Lonchura striata: one gene and its partner. The protein of the gene in region 2 purifies or fractionates together with the protein of the main gene of each other region. This does not show direct contact. Links are inferred from orthologs where the notes say so. Each region holds a gene or a part of one and is shown on either strand. Other genes may lie near its edges. The genes, in order: PSME4 and PSMB3.

Region 1 (12,415 bases), on a different chromosome or scaffold from region 2:
TGGGTGGGGGTGTAGGTGATTCCCAGGAGCAATTGGCTAATTAACATTTCAATGTCCCGTACTTAGCTCAAGCCAAAGTGTCCCAGCCAGGCTGTTTTGTTCTTAACAACAGGAAAATGTTCTTGCACATTTCCACAGCAAAGACTGAGGCCAGCCTGAAAGAAATAGAAAGCTTTGCAGAGAGAAAAAGGCACAGAGTCTGGGAATGTAGTGAGAAAATAAGACTACCTAAGTGAATATATAACATCAAAAAAATCACAGTGAGGGCACCTGAAGGAGATATTCTGCAAAATAACTCTGATGGTACCAGCTGCTCGCTGAAAAGCCCCTGGAGAGCTGGTGGATGCCATCCCTTGCTCTGTGCAGTGCAGGATCGGGTCAGGTGCCCTGGGCTGTTGGCAGGACTAGCTATGGCTGCACTCACACTGCTGCAGCTGCTGTGATGCTGAGGTGCTGTGCACATCCAGCTCTTGGTGCTCTGAACTTCGTAACACCTCTGGCATCTCGACACCACCCCAAATTCGCTTTGCTCCTGACTTCCCATCTCAAAACTCCCCGCTTTTCAGAGGTACTAATTTGCTGGGGATATTGAGGGGTAAGAAGAGTGATTCTGGCCCAGTTTATTCTAATTTCAGAGCCTGTCAAGCCTCCTGCTAATACCACTGCAGATGCTGATGGCTCTATCATTCCCAGGCGATGGGGGCTGGAATCTCTAAGGACAACCATTTTTCCAGCAATGCCTTTGGGTAAGCAGATTAATTCAGAGCATAGCTACAGGATTTGAGCAGGCATTTAGCAAAGCCAAGAAGGCATGAATCAGGCTCTGCATCGATCCATTGCAACACTACTGAAAAAGAAAACACATGGGGGTTGTAGATAGTGGTATCACAGCCACAGTGAACGCCCACCGGATTGTCCGGCAGAGCCCTCTCTGGAGATTACAAGCTGTCTTTTTCCTGCTCTTTTTGTTCAAGGCAGATTCTGTTTCTCACTTCAATTTTCTAAACCCTCTGAGTTTTTTCACCCAGTTCTCAGTGCTTTGCCCAGCAGAAGGGCAGCTGCTGCCTTTGTACTAAGCAAGGCTTAGTTTTCCACTGGGCTTGGCTTCAAAGTAATGACACACAAATGTAGCAAAAGTAACATTTCCTCTCCCTGAGATCTGAATTTATAGGCCTCATGTGCTCTTTAATTGGAACATTCCTTCTATCCTAAATGGCTTTTCTGACAGTTATATTTCCAAAGTTGTAAGGAAGTATTAATTTACAGTTATTGTTTCTCTTTGAACCATTCTTAGCGGGATACCTGGGACAATAATAAACCAATTTACAATTCCTTGAATCCTGGTGTTAGTCAGCAGGCCTAGCACTACCATAATCACGTCCCTGACATAATTACACTTATTATCCCCACATTACCAAGGCATAAACAACATGGCAGGTTAGACCAAATGAACACCAGAGAGCTCCAAGTTTGTGCCATGTGATTCTCCCAAAGGTTTGTTAATCTGCTGGGTGTCTCCTTAACATACCCCATGGGAGAAGCTGCTGCTTCAGAAACGTGCCAAAAAGTCTCCCATGCAGATTCCATGCACAAAACCACTCAGCCAGAAGCAAAGGATAGATAATTCTTTAGCAGGAGAGAAAGGATTGGTTGCTTAAGGGAATATTTAAGTGAGATTTTTTTCTCTTCCAGAATTCATAAATATTTAAATACTTCTGATCCACATGTCCAAGCAGTAAACACACAATCCACCCACAGAACTAAAGCCTGAACAACTACTTAAGCTATGGCCATGACAAACATAATTATTTGTGCTGAATGCTACTTAAAACAAGACTGAAAACCCGAGCAAATATTTTTGGTTGCTTTTTGATTTATCCTGCATTGGGAAATCAGACCTTTATTTTTTTTTAATTTTTCATCTTGACAAGGAATAGACAAACCAGAGAACTGCAGATGAAGCTGCAACAAATGCACTTGCATTTGTATTATTGTTTAAAACCAATAAATATGATCATCCACCCAGGCACTTGGGGTAAGGTGTGTCACAATCCTCTCTGGCAAACACAGGGCAGCTGCATGAGATACCCAAGTCCATAATGAGCAGTTTCTATGAGAGTGGCTGCAGGTTGCCAAGGGACTGTGTTTCCTTGATTTCCGAGAACAGCAGAATCCCTAGGAATAACCTTTGTGAGTTCACTGTCATCACATGCTCCTCTGAGGCTGGTTTCTGTTTGGCAGGAGAGTGAGACAGAAAAATCCACTTCAATGGCTCAAGAGGAACAGAAAAGTAACCCTAATGTCTCTTTCCCCAAAGTTGGCTGCATTTCTGTAATGTCCAAGAAATTATTATTTATTTCAAATAGCTGTGAGTAATTTGGAAAGAACCTCTTACAAAGAGGCTCAAGTCTATTGCTTTTTCTCCCTGCAGGCACAATCGTTTCCAGGGATATCTTTGGGAGTTTCAGACATGTAGAGGAAACAGCCTGTCACAAGCAGAATCTCTGCTGTGGATTTGGGACGTTCATGCTTTCCAAATCTTAGGCAATAAGGCACCAAAAGATAACAAATCCAGGGAGTGGAGAGGAAAAACACTTTTGCTATAAATTAATTTATTTCACCAAGGAGAATTGAGGTTCTGTTCTTGTACGTAGATTGTCCACTGTAAGCACAGTAACCCCTAAGTTCAGCTGGAAAAGAGCCCAAAAAATATCTTGTGAATGGATATAATTGAGCATGGATTTAATTCTCATAAACAGAACCACTGGCAATATAAAGTGAAGGATAACAATGCTGCACCTATTTGGTCAGGCTTGTCTACATAATAGAGTTTTAAAAATTATACAGGTGCCTACTTTAACCTCTTCACGAGGGCCTCTTATTTCTGCACAACAGAAATATTCCACTCACATTAGAACACACAGATCCAAACAGGCATTGCAGAAAAAGAATATTCAATGTATGTGTTGTAGGTGACACCAAACCCGCCTCCCCATCCAACTTGAAACATGTAATGGAGTATTTATATAGCCTTATTTTAGGGACCTAAATTAGTTCCTCTGAATCACACTTTAGAAGAACCTATTTTTGTCCCATACTACACAGGAAACTCTAAGTTCCTCATTCAGATGCTGTAATCACTCTTGCCCTCATCTCCCAAATAGACAAATTCTCTGTAAAATAGAAGTTTTATGTGACAGAGATGTTTCTGAGTTGCTTCTTTGGTACCTTTCAGCACCAGCTTAGTATGACTGACCAGTTTAGAAATATGGGGCTGAGGGGAAGTATCCTCATCAAAAAGCAGCTATTCTTTATTCCTATAGTGGCACTTTGTGAGATATGGGGGCATCATTGACTGGGACAGGTATGATACAGGTAATATGAAGCTCCTGTTGGATTGGCTATTCTTTTCCAAACAGTAAAATCATAAGAGTCGTTTAGGTTGGAAAGGAGCTTAAAGCCCACCCAGTTCCACCCCCTGCCATGGCTAGGGACACCTTCCACCATCCCAGGTTGCTCCAACCCTGTCCAGCCTGGCCTTGGATACTTCCAGGGATGGAGAAGCCACAGCTTCCCTATGCTAGGGCCTCCCCATCCTCACAGAGAAGAATTTCTTGTGTATATCTCATCTAAACCTATTCTCTTTCAGTTTGAAGCCATCTCCCCTTGTCCTGTCACTCCAGATCCTTGTGAAATGTCCCTCTCCATTTTTCTTGTAGGTTCCCTTCAGGTATTGGAAGGGCCTTGGGCACTGAAAAATGGGTAGAAATCTGTCACTGGAAAAGTATCCAACTTGGGTGGAAAAGGACAGATGGGTCACTAAGGAAAACATCTGTGCTAAGTAGTCCCTGGAGAGGTGAGGCAGCAGGAAGCAAGGCTGAGTGACAAGATTCCCAAATCCCTGTGCCAGTGCTGGTGCTGGCTGCCCTCAAGCATCACCCAACAAGGGAACATGTGGACAACCGCCAGCGTGACCCATGCCACTGTCAGCACTGGAAGTTTCTCATGAATGGGATGATTTTGTTTTTCTCACAACTACTCCACTTGGATTTATCAGCTCTCAGGAGGCAATGCCAAAACCAACAGGTGGCTGCCATATTTGGGTTGCTGGTAATTCATATTCCTCCTACTTAATAAAAGAGGAAGAAGCTGTTGATGTGAAGTGGCACAGACGGGTCCTGTGTTATGAAAGCCCCGTCCTTCATCAGCTGATTCGGGAACCAAATGTGCTTTCACACACTGCTGCAGCCAAAACATATTGCAAACTTGAACAACACATTTATTTTTGACTCACTTGGCAAAATGTATCTCTTTTTTTTTCTCTTTTTAAAGAGCAGAATGGTGGCATAGCAGGGAGGGGAAAGGATTAGGTTTTTTTAATAATTACTACATTTAATTAGTAAATGAATCAACATGCAGAAAATACATTCAAAAAGCAAGTACTACAAGTATGCTTACTACTGTTATTACTAATGGAGAAGAATCTCCTCTCCCCTTGTTTCAGACTCTGAAAACAGGAACGAAGAGATCAGATTAGTTAGTAGGATGACTGTCAGAGGTGCTGATGGCATAACTTGGCATGTTTTTCCCCAAAAAGGAGTGTTTAATCCTGGTGGAAGGCATTCATGTGTCTGAGGCCACAGCTGAGAAGGCAGCTTGTTGGCTTGGACAGAACAGGCTCCCTGAGGTCAGAGGCGTTAATTCACATGCCAAATATTCCAAAATGCCTGAAAAATCAAGACTTAGTTTTAACTTGGGTTAGAAAGGGCAGGAGTAATTTTTACAACATGGCTACAAAGCAACAGAATGCAGCTGGGATGCTCCTGATGTATCTGCCAACTTCCAATTTTATAAAACTGGGCTAGAATTTTGAATTTTTCTCCCTCCAAATCCAAACAAACTGCATGCTTCAAATTTGACAAACACTTTCCCACATTGGAAATGTCTGAACAAAACACCATTGTGAGTATCAAGAATTGCCTCTAAGTGACAGAAAGTAATTTTAGACTTTTCAATTTCAATGCACACATATTTTCACTTACCCTTTTCATTAACTATAGATATTGTTTTTTAATTACAGCTCTTGGGCCAATTTATCCTTGACTGAATTGCTGATAAAACTATTAATTTCATATGGTTTATTTCTGTTTTCACCAGAAAAATACTAAATCAAGATATACTTTATCCCCATAGAAGGCTGACCATGATCAAGTTTTCATTTTTAATTCAAGCCAGAAAGGGCAGAGATTCATCTATGAATTGTTTTGCCTCATGCAGTTATAAGGCAACACAAGCGTAAAGTCCCTTTGAAAGATGGCAACAAATTTAGTGAAGTTCAGCTATTTCGAAATAACGTAAAAGTTGTGCATGTGATCCACGAGATCATGTGATACAAAATCTTCTAGGAATTTCAGAAGAATGGGACACTAAACAAAATCCTGGCGCTCCCTTTATTAAAAATACTAGTCTAGGATGAGGAAAGTAAATGATGTAAATGCATTAGTCAGGAAGATGCCATGATGCCCTTGCCTGTCATACTTAGGTTTCCTGTGGCGTTTCTCCTCTCCCTGTCATGTTCCAGAATTTAGTTAGCATCTCTTTTTTTTTTTTTTTTTCATTTTAACCAGAGCTAGTTTGAGCATAAAGATAGAAAACAGGATTTGCCCTCGTCAGTAGCTCTAAATCTAATCAGTTTGCAGCTGTTGTATGGCCACGATGTAACTCTTGAGGGGAAATTCAATTATATTAGGACAGCTGGAGATAACAGCTATCAGTGCTGTTATCACATATCCCTCAGCAGTTTATCCCACACCCACGGCCCGCGGGCGAGCTCTTCGCTCCTGACTAGCGTTATTTCAAATAAGCCTCTTAGGCAGCCGCGCAATCTGCTATTAAACTCCGGGGCTAATTACAGCACTACCGAATCAATTAGGCTGGCAAAGACCTCGGAGATGACAGTCGAGTCCAGCCTATGGCCGGACAGACCCCGGCACTGAGTGTCCGGTCTGTCCCTGCACCTCTCCAGGGATGGGCACTGCCCCGTTACCTCCAGCGCCCGCCCCATCCCCACCTCACCCCGAGTGTTTTTGAGCGAGAACCAATGCTTGACTCCCTCCCGATGAGAGCAGCCGGCGGGTGAATGTTTTCACTCCGAATTACGCGTCCAGGTGGCGGCAGCTTTAGGAGAAGAGCTTTTCAGCAAACCGCAAAGGCGCAGAGCGCGGCCCCTGAACTCGGGCGGGCACCGTGACCTTTCCGCCCCTCCCCGCGGCGGTGCGCAAAGCACCGCCCCGGCCCAGCCCCGGCCCCGCGCCCCCGGCCCGGCCCCGCGCCCGCCGAGCGCCCGGAGCCGCCCCGGGCCCGCCTTCCGCCGGAAGTGAGCGGCGCAGAGCCGAGCGGGGCGGGCGGGGCGCGGCGGCCGCGGTCACCGGCCCTCCTCGGCCAGCGCCGACATGGCCCGGCCGCCGCAGAAGGAGATCGTCTACAACAAGCTGCTGCCCTATGGCGAGCGCCTGGAGGCAGAGGCCGCCCGCTTCCTGGAGCACATCAAGGGCAACCTGGCCCGCGCCGTGCAGCTGCAGGAGCTCTGGCCCGGCGGGCTCTTCTGGACCAGGAAGCTCTCGACGTGAGTGCCGGGGCGGGACGGGGAGCGGGGCCTCGGGCTGCGAGCGGCGCGTCAGTCCCGTCCCTTGCCTTGCCGAGCCCGGCCGAGCCGTGCCCGGCTCGCCGGGAGCGCCTCCCGCATAACGGAACCGCCGGCACCCGGCCGGGCCCCGCTCCGGCCGCTGCCCCGTCCCTGCCTGACACAGGGCCAGCACTGCCACCTCGGAAACGGGGACAAAGGTGGCTCCGGCCGCAAGAGCTCGCCTGCCGCCTCTGAAACTTCCGAATTCTACGACTTAAGCGCTTGTGCGTTTAGCTCGTGCTTTTGTTTTTAATACGTGTGTATTTTTTAATGCCTGTATGGCCACCTGTTTCACCTCTCCCCTTCTTAAGCAAGTTGTAGTTGATAAAATCGCCGTGTAACTTCTGCTATAGGGACACGGCGTCTTTCTCAAGACAGGCCGTTTGTTGGGTCAGTGCTGGCAGGATTAAACTGTGGCTTAATGCTGGGTAAACACCGCTGGTGCCCTTGATATCTTGGCTGAACTCTGGCGTGGGGTGGTTTGTGCTGATGTTGGCCGTGCTGTGTGTGCTGGCAAGGTTGTTCTTATACTGATGAACCCACGGTGCTTTCATAGATAGCACCGAGTACGACATAGGTTTCTTCTCGTGAATTTTACGAAGTACACTTGACCCTATTTTATTCGGGACACTCTGGCACTGTGTATGGCATCACATGACAGCGAGTCCTGTAGCTGCAATCAGTAAATTCTGTGGATGTTTATCACATTTGTTGCTGAATGCTGTGTGTGCTTTCACAAACAGCGTTTCCTGTGTGCCAGAAACAACAAAGTACATGTGCTTGAACCGTTTTGAAACACTTACTTAAAACTTCTCTCCTTACATAAGTATTTTTTTATAATATCATTTGAGAATTTAATAGACATTTGTTAGTTAAAGCCTGCTAAATTCAACTATATTGGAATGTAAGCGTCTTTCTGTTTCCCAAGAGGCAGTCTTAGATAGAATTACAGTGGTGGTTGCAAAATGACTCACATGTTTGTGTTATGTGACAGTTTGAACCTGCTTGGAGCCAGTTCAACACAGCTTCCCTTCCCACCCCCTAGCCATCTGCCTACTCATACTGGTTTTGATGGTACCTGTTGTCTATACCTGTGGTGGAACTTCCCTTTCCCATCGAGTTGAAATAAACTTAGGAGTCCCTGCTGTGAGAAAAATGAGCTTTAGCTAAACAGGCTGAATAGACACAGAAATTCATTCTAAATGTGCCTTAGAATCACCCTGTTACTCACTCTGTAAATGGCAATTGCTGTTACCACTTCAGGCTCCAGGGCAGTGAATTTGGCCTACTGCTGTGCTGCTTTATGAATCACAGAAAGGTCAGCAGGCTCCAATTTGTGGTTTTCCACCTACACTTTGAAGTTTGATTGAAGTTTGAATTCATTGTGAGTGTTTGCAGCTTGTCTGATGCCTGTTAGTACCAAGATTTTTCTTTGTGGCATTTTAGATAAAGGGAGGCTCTGAGTGTGTTTGGTGTGGGCAGGGGAGGAAACAGTGGGCTTGGTGTAAAAAAAATAAGCTGGTGTAGTTAATGTGAGAGATGTGCTGCTGCTCTGTTTGACTTGACAAAGTACTTATAGGGATAAAAGGCTGAGAGAATCCAGATTGTTCAGCCTGGAAAAGGGAAGGCCTGGGACAATCTAATTGTGGCCTTCCAGTACCTGAAGGGAGCAAACAAAAACATGGAGAGGTACTATTTGTACAGGCGTGGAGTGCCAGGGCAAGGGGGAATGGCTTCAAACAGCCGGAGGGCAGGGTTAGATGGGATATTGGCAAGGAATTCTTCCCTGTGAGGGTGAGGAGGCACAAGCTGTGCAGAGAAATTGTGGCTGCCCCTGGATCCCTTGAAGTGTACAAGACCAGGCCAGATGGGGCTTGGAGCACCCTGGGATAGTGGAAGTTGTCCCTTACCCATTGTAGGGTGTGGCACTGGATGGGCTTTAAGGTCCCTTCCCACCTAAACCATTCTGTCATTCTGTGAAATACAGTAGCAGAAGTTCAGGAATAGCTAAAACACTTCCAGCCTTGTGGTGTTCATGACAATAGAATCCAATTTTTACTGTCTCTCGATAGTCAGGGACTCATCTCCAAAGTGACTTGCTCTCTTTTTTCTCTCCTGAAAAAAAACTATAATTAATTAAGAGAAAATGCTCAGAATCTTCATAATGACTGCTTACATTTGTTGCTAATGTCTGAATTGCAAAGGCCAGAATTCTTGCAGTATTCTGTGTAACAATTTACGTATTTATTTATTGTACAGATAAAAATGTTAACGCAGGTATGTTTATATGCAAATGAGCAAAGCAAACATGGCATGCAGATTATATACCTGCATAGTTTAACCTCCTCAGCTTTTTACAACTCTGTGCCTCAGGAGAGAATGAAAGTGAAACTCAGATCTTTTATTGAAATAAAAAATTGAGTAGTCTTTCATGGTGACAGCTGAATCATGTAGTTTTTATACCCCCCACAGCTGGAACCATGACTTGGACATATTTATCTTCAGACCAGCTGTTTCAGCTGTCTGATGTCACTAACTGAGTAGGGAGGGAGAACAGAAAAGAGGCAGAATAGGAGTTTATCAGACATAATGTCTGTAAGCTGATTTGAATAATTCTTTTATGGGTCATTTTCAGTGGTGACACCTGGTTCTTTTGGGATGTGTGTGTGGACTGTGGTGAGAGAACTTCCTCTCCTTTTAGGAAAGTAACTTATGATTTGATGAGGCTTCTGAAGCAAGTAAAACTTGCCCCAAAGACTGGCAGTTAAATCTCTAATAATTGCTCCAAGATTCCTCCAGCTTTGTCTGGTAAAAGCTTGTAAAATGCTAGCCAGTTGTGAAAGCAGAAGAGTGAATTTCAGCTTGCCACAGTGTGTGTGGGGAAAGCAGGTTACATCAAAATAATTTGCTTAACTGGTCTTGCTCCATAATTTTTTATGGTCTTTATGTCAGCAGTATACGTTGTCTCAACTTCCCCCTCTTTCATGATTCACTGATTGTTCTAAAAATTAAAAAAAAAACACTAAACATAGTCAATAAGTGAACATATTAATATAATATGGACATTTCATGGTTACTCTGCAGCCAGGCAAACACACAAATACCTTTCTATGTTTTCTCCTCCAGCGGTCAGGGGTGTGGGAAGATGAAGGACTCAATTGTGTCCCTGATGGTGTTATTTTATGTGCTTGTCAGGTGTAGACTTATAAAGTGACATTCAACTGTCTTGCTGTAAGGTGTGGAAAAAACGCAGCTTAACTGTTTGGAAGGGGAATGACAGAACACAAAGTTAGTGAGGATGAATGTCTCCATGGGACCTTGCCAAGTATTTTAATCGCCATAGCCTAGAAGTCTTGTTTGACATCTTTCTCTCATCTTTATCAGGGAAACAGAAGCTTTCTTTGGCTGTGTGAGGGATGTGTGTGCTGTGTACATGTACATGTGATTTAAGCAGTCCTGCTGAGTATGATTCATTGCTTTTCACATCATTTGTCAAAAACTGAGCTTTAAACCAGTCATGATCCTGTTTTGTGTGCTAGGAAATGCAGATGGAGGGCCAGGAATTTAGGGGAATGGGCTGTTCAGCTTCTGAAGGAGAGGTAATTTTTAACTGTAGCAGAGCAGCCAACTTTCTAGGGCAGTTTAGGGTGGCCACATGATATGATAGTACACTTCCTAAAAATAGGCCTATTGTGCTTTTGGAGGGAGAGATTGGATTCCCAGCACTCTGAGACTAAGGAATTTGCTTTATGGTGTTGGGTTTTTTTTGTTGTTTTTTTTTTAATCTCCAGAAACCCTGTACTCTGTACAGAAAGGCTGGAGTTTGAAACAGAATTTTCATGCCTTAATAATGTTTTTCATATTATGTGGGTGTGTTTTAATTGTTGGATTTTTGACTTTTTTTCCTTATAGCTGAACAGTGAAGGACAATAGTTTTATCCTTTTTGCAGGTTAAGAACTCATATCATCTCAATGTAGTATTATCTGCTTTCAGAAGTTTCATCTTTTATTTTGTAATAATTTAGTTCTGCAATTATTTTTTTCCCCAGTAACCCAATTATCCTGAAAAGACACCATTTCTATGATGAACATTATCTGTCTGATTAGCCCCTGAACACCCTTCAGGGCTTATTAAGTTCTGCCTATATTCTTTTATTTTTATAATGGTGATATTTCATCCCTTCTGAAGGGATATTCTGAAAATTTTGCAGTTCCCCTCTGAAAAATTTTTCTTGTTTAATCTTGAGCAAAAGGCTGAGCACCCCATTCTAGGAGGATTTATTTTTTGACACTGCCTTAATGCTCATCTGGATTCATACAAATAATTGACCCCTTTCAGATCTGCCTCCCTCCTACATAAAGAAGCTGTAAAATATGGGAGCAATTTGGCATCAAGTCCTGATGCTTGGGTATAGTGACATCTTTGTGTTCCGCATGTTTCTGTGTACTTTACTCCTTTCTTAATTAAACAGCATTTTGTGTAGCAGAGCTGTTGTTAGCAAATGTCACGGAGACCTGCCAAACATTTTATTTTCAGTTATATATAGCAATACTGGCAGATAAATTTGATCTCTGTGTTTCTTTGTAGTTAAAACTTATTTTACAGGCTTCTGCAGTTTATTTTTTTTTTTTTTTAAATCATATGTGTTTCACCCATTTTTCTTTCCCTGAGGATTCTTTTTCATGTTTTTTTTAGGCATGTGAAAAGTGCTGGTGTTCAGCTCTTGGTGGTGTAATTCTGTAGGTAGGTAGTGTCTCTGGCCAATCCAGATTATTTAGGTTCCTGTGGTGGAAAAGCGGGTTATTCTGTATTTTGTTTGTTTCCTTCTGTGTTAAAAGTAAGTACAAGATGTTGGAATGAACATTTGTGAAAACACTGCCCATCAAAAGTAAACATCCCCCCCTTGAATTTGACAGGAAAAGGGAAGTGGAAAGCAGCTTTCTTATGCATATTTAAGAACAGTCAGAGCAGTAATAAAAAGGGAAGTTGCCTCCCAGTGAATTGTAATTTACAGCTGTGCCACACCTAAAATGCTCTGAAAGGACCTTATATAGGTTTTTCTGGTGCAGAATATCTTTCAAGACTTGAAATATGTTTCTTTTTTTCAATCTCAACTTAAAACCAGCAAACACTTCTTCTGGAATGAGTCTGATGGATCTACCCTTGGTGAAGACAGTGAGACACACCACTGGCAAAGCTCAGTGTCTAAATCAATTGTTCATCCTTGCTGGAAGCTGTTGGATTTGGGTTTGTCTTGATACTTTTTGGGTTGTTTTTTTAGCTTCTGGATTGTGTCCTGTCCATGAGGTTACAGTATTTGTAGAATCTTAGAGGTCTGTAAACTTTATTTGGTCATTCTTTTTCTTCCTATAATTGCAGTTGTAAATCTTCCTTTGGTGTGTACCTTCGGGTTCTTAGTTGTTGGGCTTGAGAACCAGGTTTAGTTTTGTTTCACTAAACAGCAAATCAGAGGGATTCTGGCTCAGGTCTTGGATAAATTGGATGTTTTAAAATATTGCTGACTCCCCTTGTGTTTGGTTTGCAGATACATCCGACTGTATGGGAGAAAATTCAGCAAGGAGGATCACGTGCTGTTTATCAAACTATTGTACGAGTTGGTGACAATTCCAAAGCTGGAGATCAGCATGATGCAAGGATTTGCACGCCTGCTGATCAACTTGTTAAAGTGAGTAGAGATTTCTGCTGACTGTGGAAACTTCTGTGTCAGA
Region 2 (12,415 bases):
GGCTATCCCAGATGACCCCAGGTGACCCTGGCTGTCCCCCAGGCTGTCCCCTCATCTACCTCAATGTGTCCCCAGGTGTCCCCATGTGTCCCCACATGTCCCCACATGTCCCCAGTGTCACTGACCATGTCGGGCTCCCAGAGGGACTCGCACATGCCGTACATCTGCTCGGAGCAGGTGTCCCAGGTGTGTCCCCACGTGTCCCCAGGTGTCCCAGGTGTGTCCCCAGGTGTCCCCAGGTGTCCCCCCATGTCCCCCCAGATGTCCCCGGGGTCACTGACCATGTTGGGCTCCCAGAGGGACTCGCACATGCCGTACATCTGCTCGGAGCAGGTGTCCCAGGTGTGTCCCCACGTGTCCCCAGGTGTCCCAGGTGTGTCCCCAGCCTGTCCCAGCTGTCCCAGGCTGTCCCCCCATGTGTCCCCACATGTCCCCATGTCCCCCCAGGTGTCCCCAGGGTCACTGACCATGTCGGGCTCCCAGAGGGACTCGCACATGCCGTACATCTGCTCGGAGCAGCTGTCCCAGGTGTGTCCCCAGGTGTCCCCATGTTCCCCCAGGTGTCCCCAGGTGTCCCCAGGTGTCCCCATGTTCCCCCAGGTGTCCCCAGGTGTCCCCAGGTGTCCCCATGTGTCCCCACATGTCCCCACATGTCCCCAGTGTCACTGACCATGTCGGGCTCCCAGAGGGACTCGCACATGCCGTACATCTGCTCGGAGCAGGTGTCCCAGGTGTGTCCCCACGTGTCCCCAGGTGTCCCAGGTGTGTCCCCAGGTGTCCCCAGGTGTCCCCCCATGTCCCCCCAGATGTCCCCGGGGTCACTGACCATGTTGGGCTCCCAGAGGGACTCGCACATGCCGTACATCTGCTCGGAGCAGGTGTCCCAGGTGTGTCCCCACGTGTCCCCAGGTGTCCCAGGTGTGTCCCCAGCCTGTCCCAGCTGTCCCAGGCTGTCCCCCCATGTGTCCCCACATGTCCCCATGTCCCCCCAGGTGTCCCCAGGGTCACTGACCATGTCGGGCTCCCAGAGGGACTCGCACATGCCGTACATCTGCTCGGAGCAGCTGTCCCAGGTGTGTCCCCAGGTGTCCCCATGTTCCCCCAGGTGTCCCCAGGTGTCCCCAGGTGTCCCCATGTTCCCCCAGGTGTCCCCAGGTGTCCCCAGGTGTCCCCAGGTGTCCCCATGTCCCCCCAGGTGTCCCCAGTGTCACTGACCATGTCGGGCTCCCAGAGGGACTTGCACATGCCGTACATCTGCTCGGAGCAGGTGTCTCCAGGCTGTCCCAGCCTGTCCCAGCTGTCCCCCCATGTGTCCCCACATGTCCCCAGGTGTCCCCAGGTGTCCCCATGTCCCCCCAGGTGTCCCCGGTGTCACTGACCATGTCGGGCTCCCAGAGGGACTCGCACATGCCGTACATCTGCTCGGAGCAGGTGCCGCTGAGCACGAAGTCCTGGGTGACCATGGGGCAGCCGATGAGGTCCAGCGAGCAGATGAAGGGCTCCAGGCTCAGCGGGTCCAGCCCCGCGATCACCGGCTCCGCGTAGTACGGCCCGAACCTGGCACGGCCGGGGGCATCCCGGGGGTCAGGGGGCATCCGGGGGTCAGGGGGCATCCGGGGGTCAGGGGGCATCCGGGGGTCAGGGGGCATCCCGGGGGCATCCCGGGGGCATCCGGGGGTCAGGGGGCATCCCCGGGACCACCCTGTCCTCCTCGGGTCACAGGGATGGTCCCTGTCCTCCTCGGGTCACAGGGACCATCCCTGGGGTCACGGGGACCATCCCTGGGGTCACAGGGACCTCCCTGTCCTCCTCGGGTCACAGGGACCGTCCCTGTCCTCCTGGGGTCATCCCTGGGGTCAGGGGGACCATCCCTGTCCTTCTGGGGTCATCCCTGGGGTCACCGGGACCATCCCTGGGGTCACAGGGACCACCCTGTCCCTCTGGGGTCATCCCTAGGGTCACGGGAACCATCCCTGGGGTCACGGGGACCTCCCTGTCCTCCTCGGGTCACAGGGATGGTTCCTGTCCTCCTGGGGTCATCCCTGGGGTCACGGGGACCATCCCTGGGGTCAGGGGTCATCCCTGAGGTCACAGGGACCACCCCTGGGGTCACAGGGACCACCCCTGGGGTCACGGGGACCATCCCTGGGGTCACGGGGACCATCCCTGTCCTTCCGGGGTCATCCCTGGGGTCATCCCTGGGGTCAGGGGTCATCCCTGGGGTCAGGGAGATCTCCCTGTCCTCCTCGGGTCACAGGGATCACTTGTGTCCTTACGGGGTCATCCCTGGGGTCAGGGGTCATCCCTGGGGTCATCCCTGGGGTCAGGGGTCATCCCTGGGGTCAGGGGTCATCCCTGGGGTCATCCCTGGGGTCACGGGGACCTCCCAGTCCTCCTGGGGTCACGGGGATCCCATCCCTGACACTTTTCCTCAGGTTTTTTCCCAGTTTTTTGCATTTTCCTGCAGTTTTTTCCCTTTTTTTCCCAGTTTTTTGCATTTTTTTTTTACCATTTTCCCCAATTTTTTCCCCAGTTTTTTCCATTTTTCCGATTTTTTTTTTTTTTGCCATTTTCCCCAGTTTTTTCCCCACTTTTTTCCAGATCTTTTTTACCATTTCCCCCCGTTTTTTTCCCCCAGCTTTTTTCCATTTCTTCGATTTTTTTTTTGCCATTTCCCCGTTTTTTTCCCCGTTTTTTCCCCCGTTTTTTACGTTTTCCAGCAGCTTTTCCCGTTTTTTCCCGATTTTTGCATTTTTTGGCATTTTTTGGGCAGTTTTCGCCCCGCTCTCAGCCTCACCTCCTCTCGTAGAGCAGGTTGGACACCATGCTCATGAAGGTCTGGGGCTTGATCTGCCTCCCCTCCTTCAGCTCGTAGAGGTTCAGCCGGAACTTCAGCCGCTGCGCCCTGGGGAGCCAAATTCGGGGGGAAAAGGGAATTTTGGGAGTTAATGTCGGGATTTAGCAGGGGAAGGGGAATTTTAGGGGTTAAAAGTTGAATTTTAGGGGTTGAAAGTTGAATTTTAGGGGTTAAAATTGAATTTTAGGGGTTGAAAGTTGAATTTTAGGGGTAAAAAGTTGAATTTTAGGGGTTGAAAGTTGAATTTTAGGGGTTAAAAGTCGGGTTTTAGGAGTTAAAGTTGGATTTTTAGGAGGGAAAAGTGAATTTTAGGGGTTAAAATTGAATTTTAGGGCTTGACAGTCGGGTTTTAGGAGTTAAAGTTGGGTTTTAGCAGGGATTTCCCAGCCCTGCAGCCCCGCCCGGTTCCCGTTCCCGTTCCCGGTTCCCGTTCCCATTCCCGGTGCTCACACGCTCTGCACGTCCATGGCCAGCCCTGGTTCCCCGGTCCCCGTTCCCGTTCCCCGTTCCCATTCCCGTTTCCAGTTCCCGTTCCCGTTCCCGTTCCCATTCCCGGTCCCCGTTCCCGTTCCCCATTCCCCATTCCCCGTTCCCCATTCCCGGTTCCCGTTCCCATTCCCGTTCCCCGTTCCCGTTCCCGGTTCCTGGTTCCCGTTCCCGTTCCCATTCCCCGTTCCCATTCCCGTTCCCGTTCCCATTCCCCGTTCCCATTCCCATTCCCGTTCCCGGTGCTCACACGCTCTGCACGTCGGTGGCCAGCCCCGGTTCCCGTTCCCATTCCCTGTTCCCGTTCCCGGTTCCCGTTCCCGGTTCCCAGTTCCCGTTCCCGGTTCCCGTTCCCCGTTCCCAGTTCCCGTTCCCGTTCCCTGTTCCCGGTTCCCGTTCCCGTTCCCGTTCCCCGTTCCCGTTCCCATTCCCGGTTCCCGTTCCCCGTTCCCAGTTCCCGTTCCCGTTCCCTGTTCCCGGTTCCCGTTCCCGTTCCCCGTTCCCGTTCCCATTCCCATTCCCGTTCCCATTCCCTGTTCCCGTTCCCGTTCCCGGTGCTCACACGCTCTGCACGTCGGTGGCCAGCCCCGGTTCCCGTTCCCATTCCCTGTTCCCGTTCCCATTCCCCGTTCCTGTTCCCCGTTCCCGGTTCCCATTCCCCGTTCCCGTTCCCCGTTCCCGTTCCCATTCCCGTTCCCGTTCCCGTTCCCGTTCCCGTTCCCAGTGCTCACACGCTCTGCACGTCCGTGGCCAGCCCCGGTTCCCCGTTCCCGTTCCCCATTCCCGGTTCCCCGTTCCCGTTCCCCATTCCCGGTTCCCCGTTCCCAGTTCCCATTCCCCGTTCCCATTCCCCATTCCCGTTCCCCGTTCCCGTTCCCCATTCCCCGTTCCCGTTCCCATTCCCGTTCCGGTTCCCGGTGCTCACACGCTCTGCACATCCGTGGCCAGCCCCGGTTCCCGATCCCCCTGCCCGGTTCCCGTTCCCCGTTCCCGTTCCCATTCCTGTTCCCGTTCCCGTTCCCGTTCCCGTTCCCGGTGCTCACACGCTCTGCACGTCGGTGGCCAGCCCCGGTTCCCGTTCCCCGTTCCCATTCCCAGTTCCCGTTCCCGTTCCCGGTTCCCGTTCCCGGTGCTCACACGCTCTGCACGTCGGTGGCCAGCCCCGGTTCCCGTTCCCATTCCCATTCCCGTTCCCGTTCCCGTTCCCGTTCCCGTTCCCATTCCCGTTCCCGTTCCCGGTTCCCGTTCCCGGTGCTCACACGCTCTGCACGTCGGTGGCCAGCCCCGGTTCCCGTTCCCATTCCCATTCCCCGTTCCCGTTCCCGTTCCCGTTCCCGGTGCTCACACGCTCTGCACGTCCGTGGCCAGCCCCGGTTCCCCGTTCCCGGTTCCCGTTCCCATTCCCGGTTCCCCGTTCCCATTCCCGGTTCCCATTCCCGGTTCCCGGTTCCCGTTCCCGTTCCCCGTTCCCGTTCCCATTCCCGTTCCCGTTCCCCGTTCCCGTTCCCATTCCCATTCCCATTCCCGTTCCCGGTTCCCGTTCCCGGTGCTCACACGCTCTGCACGTCGGTGGCCAGCCCCGCCAGGCCGAGCAGCAGCCGCGGGCCCATGGGGAAGATCCGGCGGCAGTCGGTGCTCACGGTCTGCGCCTGGATCCCGAAGCGCCGGTCGGCGGCGACGGCGACGCAGCCCCGGCCCCGCATGGCCAGCACGGCGCCGCCGTTGTACGCCAGGATGGACTGCGGGGAGCCGGTACCGGGTCAGAACCGGGTCAGAACCGGGACAGAACCGGGACAGAACCGGCACCGGGACCACCGGCACTGGGACAGAACCGGCACCGGGACCACCGGGTCAGAAACGGGACAGCCCCGGGACAGCACCGGGTCAGAACCGGCGGCACCGGGTCAGCACCGGGATCACCGGGTCAGCCTCGGCACCACCGGGTCAGCACCGGGTCAGCACCGGGATCACCGGGTCAGCCTCAGCACCACCGGGTCAGCACCGGCGGCACCGGGTCAACACCGGGACAGCACCGGGACAGCCCCAGCCCCATCGGGACTGCACCGGGTCAGCACCGGCGGCACCGGGTCAGCACCGGGACCACCGGGGCAACCCCGGCACCACCGGGAACCATCACCGGGACAGCCCCGGCACCGGGATTGATTTCCCGGGCCAGCCCCGGGACCGGGATTCATCCCCGGGGCATCCCCAGTACCGGGATTCACGTCCTGGGCCAGCCCCGGTACCGGGATTCATCCCCGGGACATCCCCGGTTCATGTCCCGGGACACTCCCGGTACCGGAGGCGCCGCCGCGGGTCTCACCATGGCTGCGGCTGCTCGGTGACGCCTCAGTCCCCGCTGGGTGCCGGTTCTGCCCCGGTTCTGTCCCGGTTTTGTCCCGGTTGTGCCCCGGTTCTGTCCCGGTCCCGTCCCCGCTGTGTCACCGCTCCCGGTCCCGCTCCGGCCCCGCCACGCCGCCGCCGCTCCCGCCCCCCGCCGCTTCCCATTGGTCAATCCCACTGCCACTCCCGCCTCTGGCGCTTCCCATTGGTCAATCCCACTGCCACTCCCGCCCCCGCCGCTTTTCATTGGTCAATTCTACGCCACTCCCGCCCTCACCGCTTCCTATTGGCTGCCGCCATCTCGCTCACGGCGATGCTTCCCATTGGTCGCTGTGACCGCCGCTCTCACTTTGGCGCTTCCCATTGGTCGCCGCCGCCGCCCGGGGCGCGCGCAGGTGATTGGCTGAGGCGGGGGAGGGTGGGCGGGACGGGCGCTGGTGATTGGCTGAGGCGGGGGAGGGTGGGCGGGGCGGAAATGGCGATCACAGCGAGCGCGCGAGGCACGACGGGAGCGACGAGGGGGCGGGGCCGCGGCTGGGAAATGGGAAAGGCCGGAAAGTGGAACGGCTGAAAATGGGAATGGGCGGGAAAATGGAACAGCCGGAAAGTGGAACGGCGGGAGCTGGGAACGGGTGGGGAAATGGGAACGGCTGGGAATGGGGAAACAGCTGGAAATGGAAACAGCTGGAATTGGGGAAACAGCTGGAAATGGGGAAACAGCTGGAAATGGAAACAGCTGGAATTGGGGAAACAGCTGGAAATGGGGAAACAGCTGGAATTGGGAACGGCTGGAATTGGGGAAACAGCTGGAAATGGAAATGGGTAGAATTAGGGAAACAGCTGGAAATGGGAACAGCTGGAATTGGGGAAACAGCTGGAAATGGGAACGGCTGGGAATTGGGGAAACAGCTGGAAATGGAAATGGGTGGGAAAATGGGAATGGGTGGGATTTGGAACGGGTGGAAACTGGAATGGCTGGGATTGGGAACAGCCGGAATTGGGAATGGGTGGGAAAATGAGAACAGCTGGAATTGGGAACAGCTGGAATTGGGGAAACAGCTGGAAATTGGAACGGTGGGGATTGGGAATGGGTTGGGAAAATGGGAGAACAGCTGTAATTGGGAACAGCTGGAAATGGGAATGGCTGGAAAATGGGAACAGCTGGATCTGTCTGGATCTGTTAGCTCTGCTGCTAAATCCCAATTTAAATCCCAATTTTAAATCCCAATTTTAAATCCCAATTTTAAATCCCAATTTTAAATCCCAATTTTTAAATTCCCATTTTTAAATCCCATTTTTTAAGCTGCATTTTTGAGGGGTTTTCCATTTGAAACCCCGGGATTGATCCCCGGGTTGAAACGGGAATTCCGGCATTTCGGGAATTCCGGCATTTCGGGAATTCCGGCATTTCGGGAATTCCAGCATTTTGGGAATTCTGGCATTTGAGGGGGGACGCTCGCCCTGGGAGATCCTTCAGCTTCACTTTGGGGAGAAATTCGGGATTGGGGTGGAAAAACGGGAATCGGGATGGAAACAAGAATTTGGGATTGGGACGGAAAGAGGAATTGGGATGGAAACCAGAATTGGAATTGGGATGGAAACAGGGATTCGGGATTGGGATGTAATCAGGAACTGGGATGGAATCAGGGATTGGGATGGAAAACCAGGAATTGGGATGGAAAACCAGGAATCGGGATGGAATCAGGAATCGGGATGGAAACAGGAATTTGATATTGGGATGGAAACAGGAATTCGGATGGAAACAGGAATTCGGATGGAAACAGGAATTCGGGATTGGGATGGAATCAGGGATTGGGATGGAATCAGGGATTGGGATGGAAAAACAGGAATTGGGATGGAAAAACAGGAATTGGGATGGAAAAACAGGAATTGGGATGGAAACAGGAATTTGGGATTGGGATGGAATCAGAATTTGGGATGGAATCGGGAATCAGGATGGAAACAGTAATTTGGGATTTGGATGGAATCAGGGATGGGGATGGAAACAGGGATTGGGATGGAATCAGGAACTGAGATGGACAAAGTGGGATTGGGATGGAATCAGGAATTCGGGATGGAATCAGGAATTCGGGATTGGGATGGAATCCGGGAACGGGATAGAATCAGGAATCGGGATTGGGATGGAATCAGGGATCGGGATGGAATCAGGAATTCGGGATTGGGATGGAATCCGGGATCGGGATGGAATCAGGAATTCGGGATTGGGATGGAATCCGGGATCGGGATGGAATCAGGAATCCGGGATCGGGATGGAATCAGGGATCGGGATGGAATCCGGGATCGGGATGGAATCCGGGATATCCAATCCCCTCCCGGCAGAGCCCCGGGGACGGCCCGGGGCACACCGGGAGCGGCTTCTCCGCCCGGCCGGGAGCACCGGGAGCGGCTCCGGTGTCCCGGAATGTTCTCCGTGCCCGGTTCCGCCCGTGGCGGCGCCGGGAAAAGCGCCGGGAAAAGCGCCGGGAAAAGCGGGAAAAGGAGCGGCCGTCCCTGGGTGGGCTCGAACCACCAACCTTTCGGTTAACAGCCGAACGCGCTGACCGATTGCGCCACAGAGACCGCGCTGCCCGCCCGCCGCGCCGCCAACGCTCGGCGCCGGAATACCGGGATACCGGGAATGGCGGGAACGCCGGGAATACCGGCATGGCGGGAATACCGGGATGGCGGGAATGCCGGGATGGCGGGAATACCGGGAATACCGGGATGGCGGGAACACCGGGATGGCGGGAATGCCGGGCACACCGGAATGCCGGGAATACCGGGAATACCGGGAGCGGGACAGCGGGAATGCCGGGAATACCGGGAACACCGGGAATACCGGGATGGCGGGACAGCGGGAATACCGGGAACACCGGGAATACCGGGAGCGGGACAGCGGGAATGCCGGGAATACCGGGAACACCGGGAATACCGGGATGGCGGGACAGCGGGAACACCGGGAATACCGGGAGCGGGACAGCGGGAATGCCGGGAATACCGGGAACACCGGGAATACCGGGAGCGGGACAGCGGGAATGCCGGGAATACCGGGAATACCGGGAGCGGGACAGCGGGAATGCCGGGAATACCGGGAACACCGGGAATACCGGGAGCGGGACAGCGGGAATGCCGGGAATACTGGGAATACCGGGAGCGGGACAGCGGGAATGCCGGGAATACCGGGAACACCGGGAATACCGGGAGCGGGACAGCGGGAATGCCGGGAATACCGGGAATATAGGGAGCGGGACAGCGGGAATACTGGGAATGCCGGGAATACCGGAATGCCGGGAATACCGGGAATACAGGGAGCGGGACAAGGGGAATACCGGGAATTCCGGAATACCGGGAGCGGGAACACTGGGAATGTCAGGAATACCGGGAATACCGGCAACGGGAATACCGGGAATGCCTCAAATGGGACAGCAGGAATGCCAGGAACGGGAATACGGGGAATCCCGGGAATCCCGGGAATGCCAGGAATGCCGTGAACGGGACAGCGGGAATACTGGAATACCGGGAATGCTGGGAATACCGGGAATACAGGGAGCGGGAATACCGGGAATACAGGGAGTGGGACAGGGGGAATACCGGGAATACAGGGAGCGGGAATACCGGGAATGGGACACTGGGAATACCGGGAATGGGAACGGGACTGGGAATGGGAACAGGACAGCGGGAATACAGGGAATAACGGGAACGGGAATACAGGGAACGGGAATGGGACACCAGGAATACCGGGAATGGGAGCAGGAACTGGGACAGTGGGAATGGGAATGGGAATACTGGGAATGGGAGCAGGAATGGGAATGGGACAGCGGGAATCCAGGAAATACTGGGAATGGGAATGGTACACCGGGAATACTGGGAATACTGGGAATACTGGGAATACTGGGAACGGGAACGGGACAGTGGGAATGGAAATACCAGGAACTGGAATACCGGGAGCAGGAACAGGAATACAGGCAGTGGGAACAGGAATGGGAATGGGAATGGGACATTGGGAATACCGGGAATACCGGGAATGGGAACGGGAGCAGGAATACTGGGAACGGGAAGGGAATGGGACAGCCAAAATGGGAATGGGACAGCGGGAATGGGAGTGGGAATGGGAACATGGGAATACCGGGAACAGGGCACTGGGAATACCGGGAACAGGAACGGGACAGTGGGAATACTGGGAATACTGGGAACAGGGCACTGGGAATACCGGGAACGGGAATGGGACAGTGGGAATACTGGGAATACTGGGAACAGGGCACTGGGAATACCGGGAACGGGAACGGGACAGTGGGAATACTGGGAATACTGGGAACAGGGCACTGGGAATACCGGGAACGGGAACGGGAATGGGACAGTGGGAATACTGGGAATACTGGGAACAGGACACTGGGAATACCGGGAATGGGAATGGGACAGTGGGAATACTGGAATACTGGGAACAGGACACTGGGAATACCGGGAATGGGAATGGGACACCAGAATGGGAGACCGGGAACGGGAATGGGACAGCGGGAATACCGGAACAGCAGGAACGGGACACCGGGAATGGGAGACCGGGAATGGGAACATGGTACCAGGAATGGAACTGGGACACCGGGAAGCGGATACAGGGACAGGATACCGGGAACGGGACACCGGGAACGGGACCAGCAGACCGGGAATGGGAACGGGACAGGGACACCGGGAATGGGACAACCAGCCCCGGCATCCCGGGAACCGAGACAGCGGCACGGACAGCGGCTCACCGGGAATCCCCGGGAGCCGCCGGTAATCCCGGGAATGCGGGAGCCGCGCTCCCTCAGCCCCTCCCGCTCCTCCTCCTCTCCCCCTCCTTAATTTCCTTCCCGGCTTTTCCATTTTATTTTATTTGATTTTATTTTATTTTATTTTATTTTATTTTATTTTATTATTTTTATTTTATTTTATTTTATTTTATTATTTTTATTTTATTTTATTATTTTTATTTTATTTTATTATTTTTATTTTATTTTATTTTACTTTATTTTATTTTATTATTTATTTCATTTCATTTCATTTCATTTCATTTCATTTCATTTCATTTCATTTCATTTCATTTCATTTTTTCCTTCCCTCCCGCTCCAATTTCCCATTTTCCCGCTGGAAATTCCCTCTATTTTTAAAATTATTTTTTTTTCTTCCTTTTCCCCTCCTTTTCCCGGTCCCGGGTCAAAATTTGGGGCCAAACCCTGGGGTGGGGTGGGGGGAGCGCACCGAATTTTGGGGCTATTCCAGCGGATTTTGGGGCTGCGGTCTCGGCGGTCTTTGGGGTCCGGGGGTTTGGGGGGGGGTCCCCAAATTTCGGCTCCTCCTCCGCAGCCCCCCAAAAAAACGAGGTCACGTGAGGCGGGCGGGGCTTGGAGGTGGGAAAAAAAATAATTAAAAAATAAAAATAAAAAAAAGAAAAAGAGGAAAAAAAAAGAGGGGAAAAAATAAAAAAAAAAAAAGAGGAAGGAGAAAAAAAAATAAAAAAGAGGGAGGGAAAAAAAATAAAAAAGCGAGAGAGGGGAAAAAAATAAAAAAAATTAAAAAATAAAAAAATAAAGAAAATAAGAAAGGGCCGCAGCGCCGCCCGAGCCGAGCGGAGCCGCGGGAGCGGAGGGGCGGCCCCGGGGCCGCCGCCGCCGCCGCCACCAGGTAGGGACCGGGCCCCGGTGCCCCCCCAAAGATGGCGATGGCCGCACCGGCGGAACCGGGAGGGGCACCGGGACCCCTCCCCGGGATCCCTCCCCGGGATCGCACCGGAGGAACCGGGAGGGGCACCGGGACCACACCGGCGGAACCGGGAGATGCTCCGGGACCCCTCCCCGGGACCCCTCCCCGGGATCCCTCCCCGGGATCGCACCGGCGAAACCGGGAGGGGCACCGGGACCACACCGGCGGAACCGGGAGGGGCACCGGGACCCCTCCCCGGGACCACACCGGCGGAACCGGGAGGGGCACCGGGATCCCTCCCCGGGACCCGTCCCCGGGACCGCACCGGCAGCACCGGGAGGTGCCCCGGGATCGCACCGGCGGAACCGGGAGGGCTCCGCCGCCCCAGACCCGCTCGGTGCCCCGGGACCCCTCCCCGTGACCGCACCGGCAGCACCGGGGGGGCTCCGCCGCCACCCCCGCACCGCGCCCGGCACGGCGGCACCGGGACCGGGACCCCCATACCCCATCCCCGGGGCGGGCGGAGACAGCCGGTGCCGAGTACAGAGGGGACGCCCCACCGGGGCTACCGGGGCCACCCACATCCCCCCCCCCCGGTCCCATCGCGGCGGGAGCGGCCGGGGGGAGCAACCGGGCACCCCAACCGGGCACCACAACCGGGCACCCCAACCGGGCACCCCAACCGGGCATCACAACCGGGCACCCCAACCGGGCTCTCCAACCGGGCACCCCAACCGGGCACCCCAACCGGGCACCCCAACCGGGCACCCCAACCGGGCTCCCCAACCGGGCATCCCAACCGGGCACCACAACCGGGCACCCCAACCGGGCTCTCCAACCGGGCACCCCAACCGGGCACCCCAACCGGGCACCCCAACCGGGCACCCCAACCGGGCTCCCCAACCGGGCATCACAACCGGGCACCCCAACCGGGCACCCCAACCGGGCACCTCAACCGGGCACCCCAACTGGGCACCCCAACCGGGCTCCCCAACCGGGCATCCCAACCGGGCATCACAACCGGGCACCCCAACCGGGCACCCCAACCGGGCA

Evidence for each region.
Region 1: the proteins of PSMB3 (region 2) and PSME4 purify together in Homo sapiens (affinity purification with mass spectrometry; 3 studies listed by BioGRID and IntAct, counting the BioPlex papers as one, with this or other methods). This does not show direct contact. The link is inferred for Lonchura striata from reciprocal best matches to the Homo sapiens genes PSMB3 and PSME4.

What each region holds. Positions count from the first base shown.
Region 1 is NC_134605.1:27,565,494-27,577,908, forward strand, and holds the start of PSME4 (proteasome activator complex subunit 4), read left to right. Parts: upstream 1-6,388; 5' UTR 6,389-6,452; coding exon 6,453-6,625; intron 6,626-12,231; coding exon 12,232-12,372; intron 12,373-12,415. UniProt on the Homo sapiens protein: Associated component of the proteasome that specifically recognizes acetylated histones and promotes ATP- and ubiquitin-independent degradation of core histones during spermatogenesis and DNA damage response.
Region 2 is NC_134627.1:7,421,620-7,434,034, forward strand, and holds the start of PSMB3 (proteasome subunit beta type-3), read right to left. Parts: upstream 5,827-12,415; 5' UTR 5,670-5,826; coding exon 5,667-5,669; intron 5,083-5,666; coding exon 4,898-5,082; intron 2,906-4,897; coding exon 2,798-2,905; intron 1,558-2,797; coding exon 1,380-1,557; intron 1-1,379. UniProt on the Homo sapiens protein: Non-catalytic component of the 20S core proteasome complex involved in the proteolytic degradation of most intracellular proteins. This complex plays numerous essential roles within the cell by associating with different regulatory particles.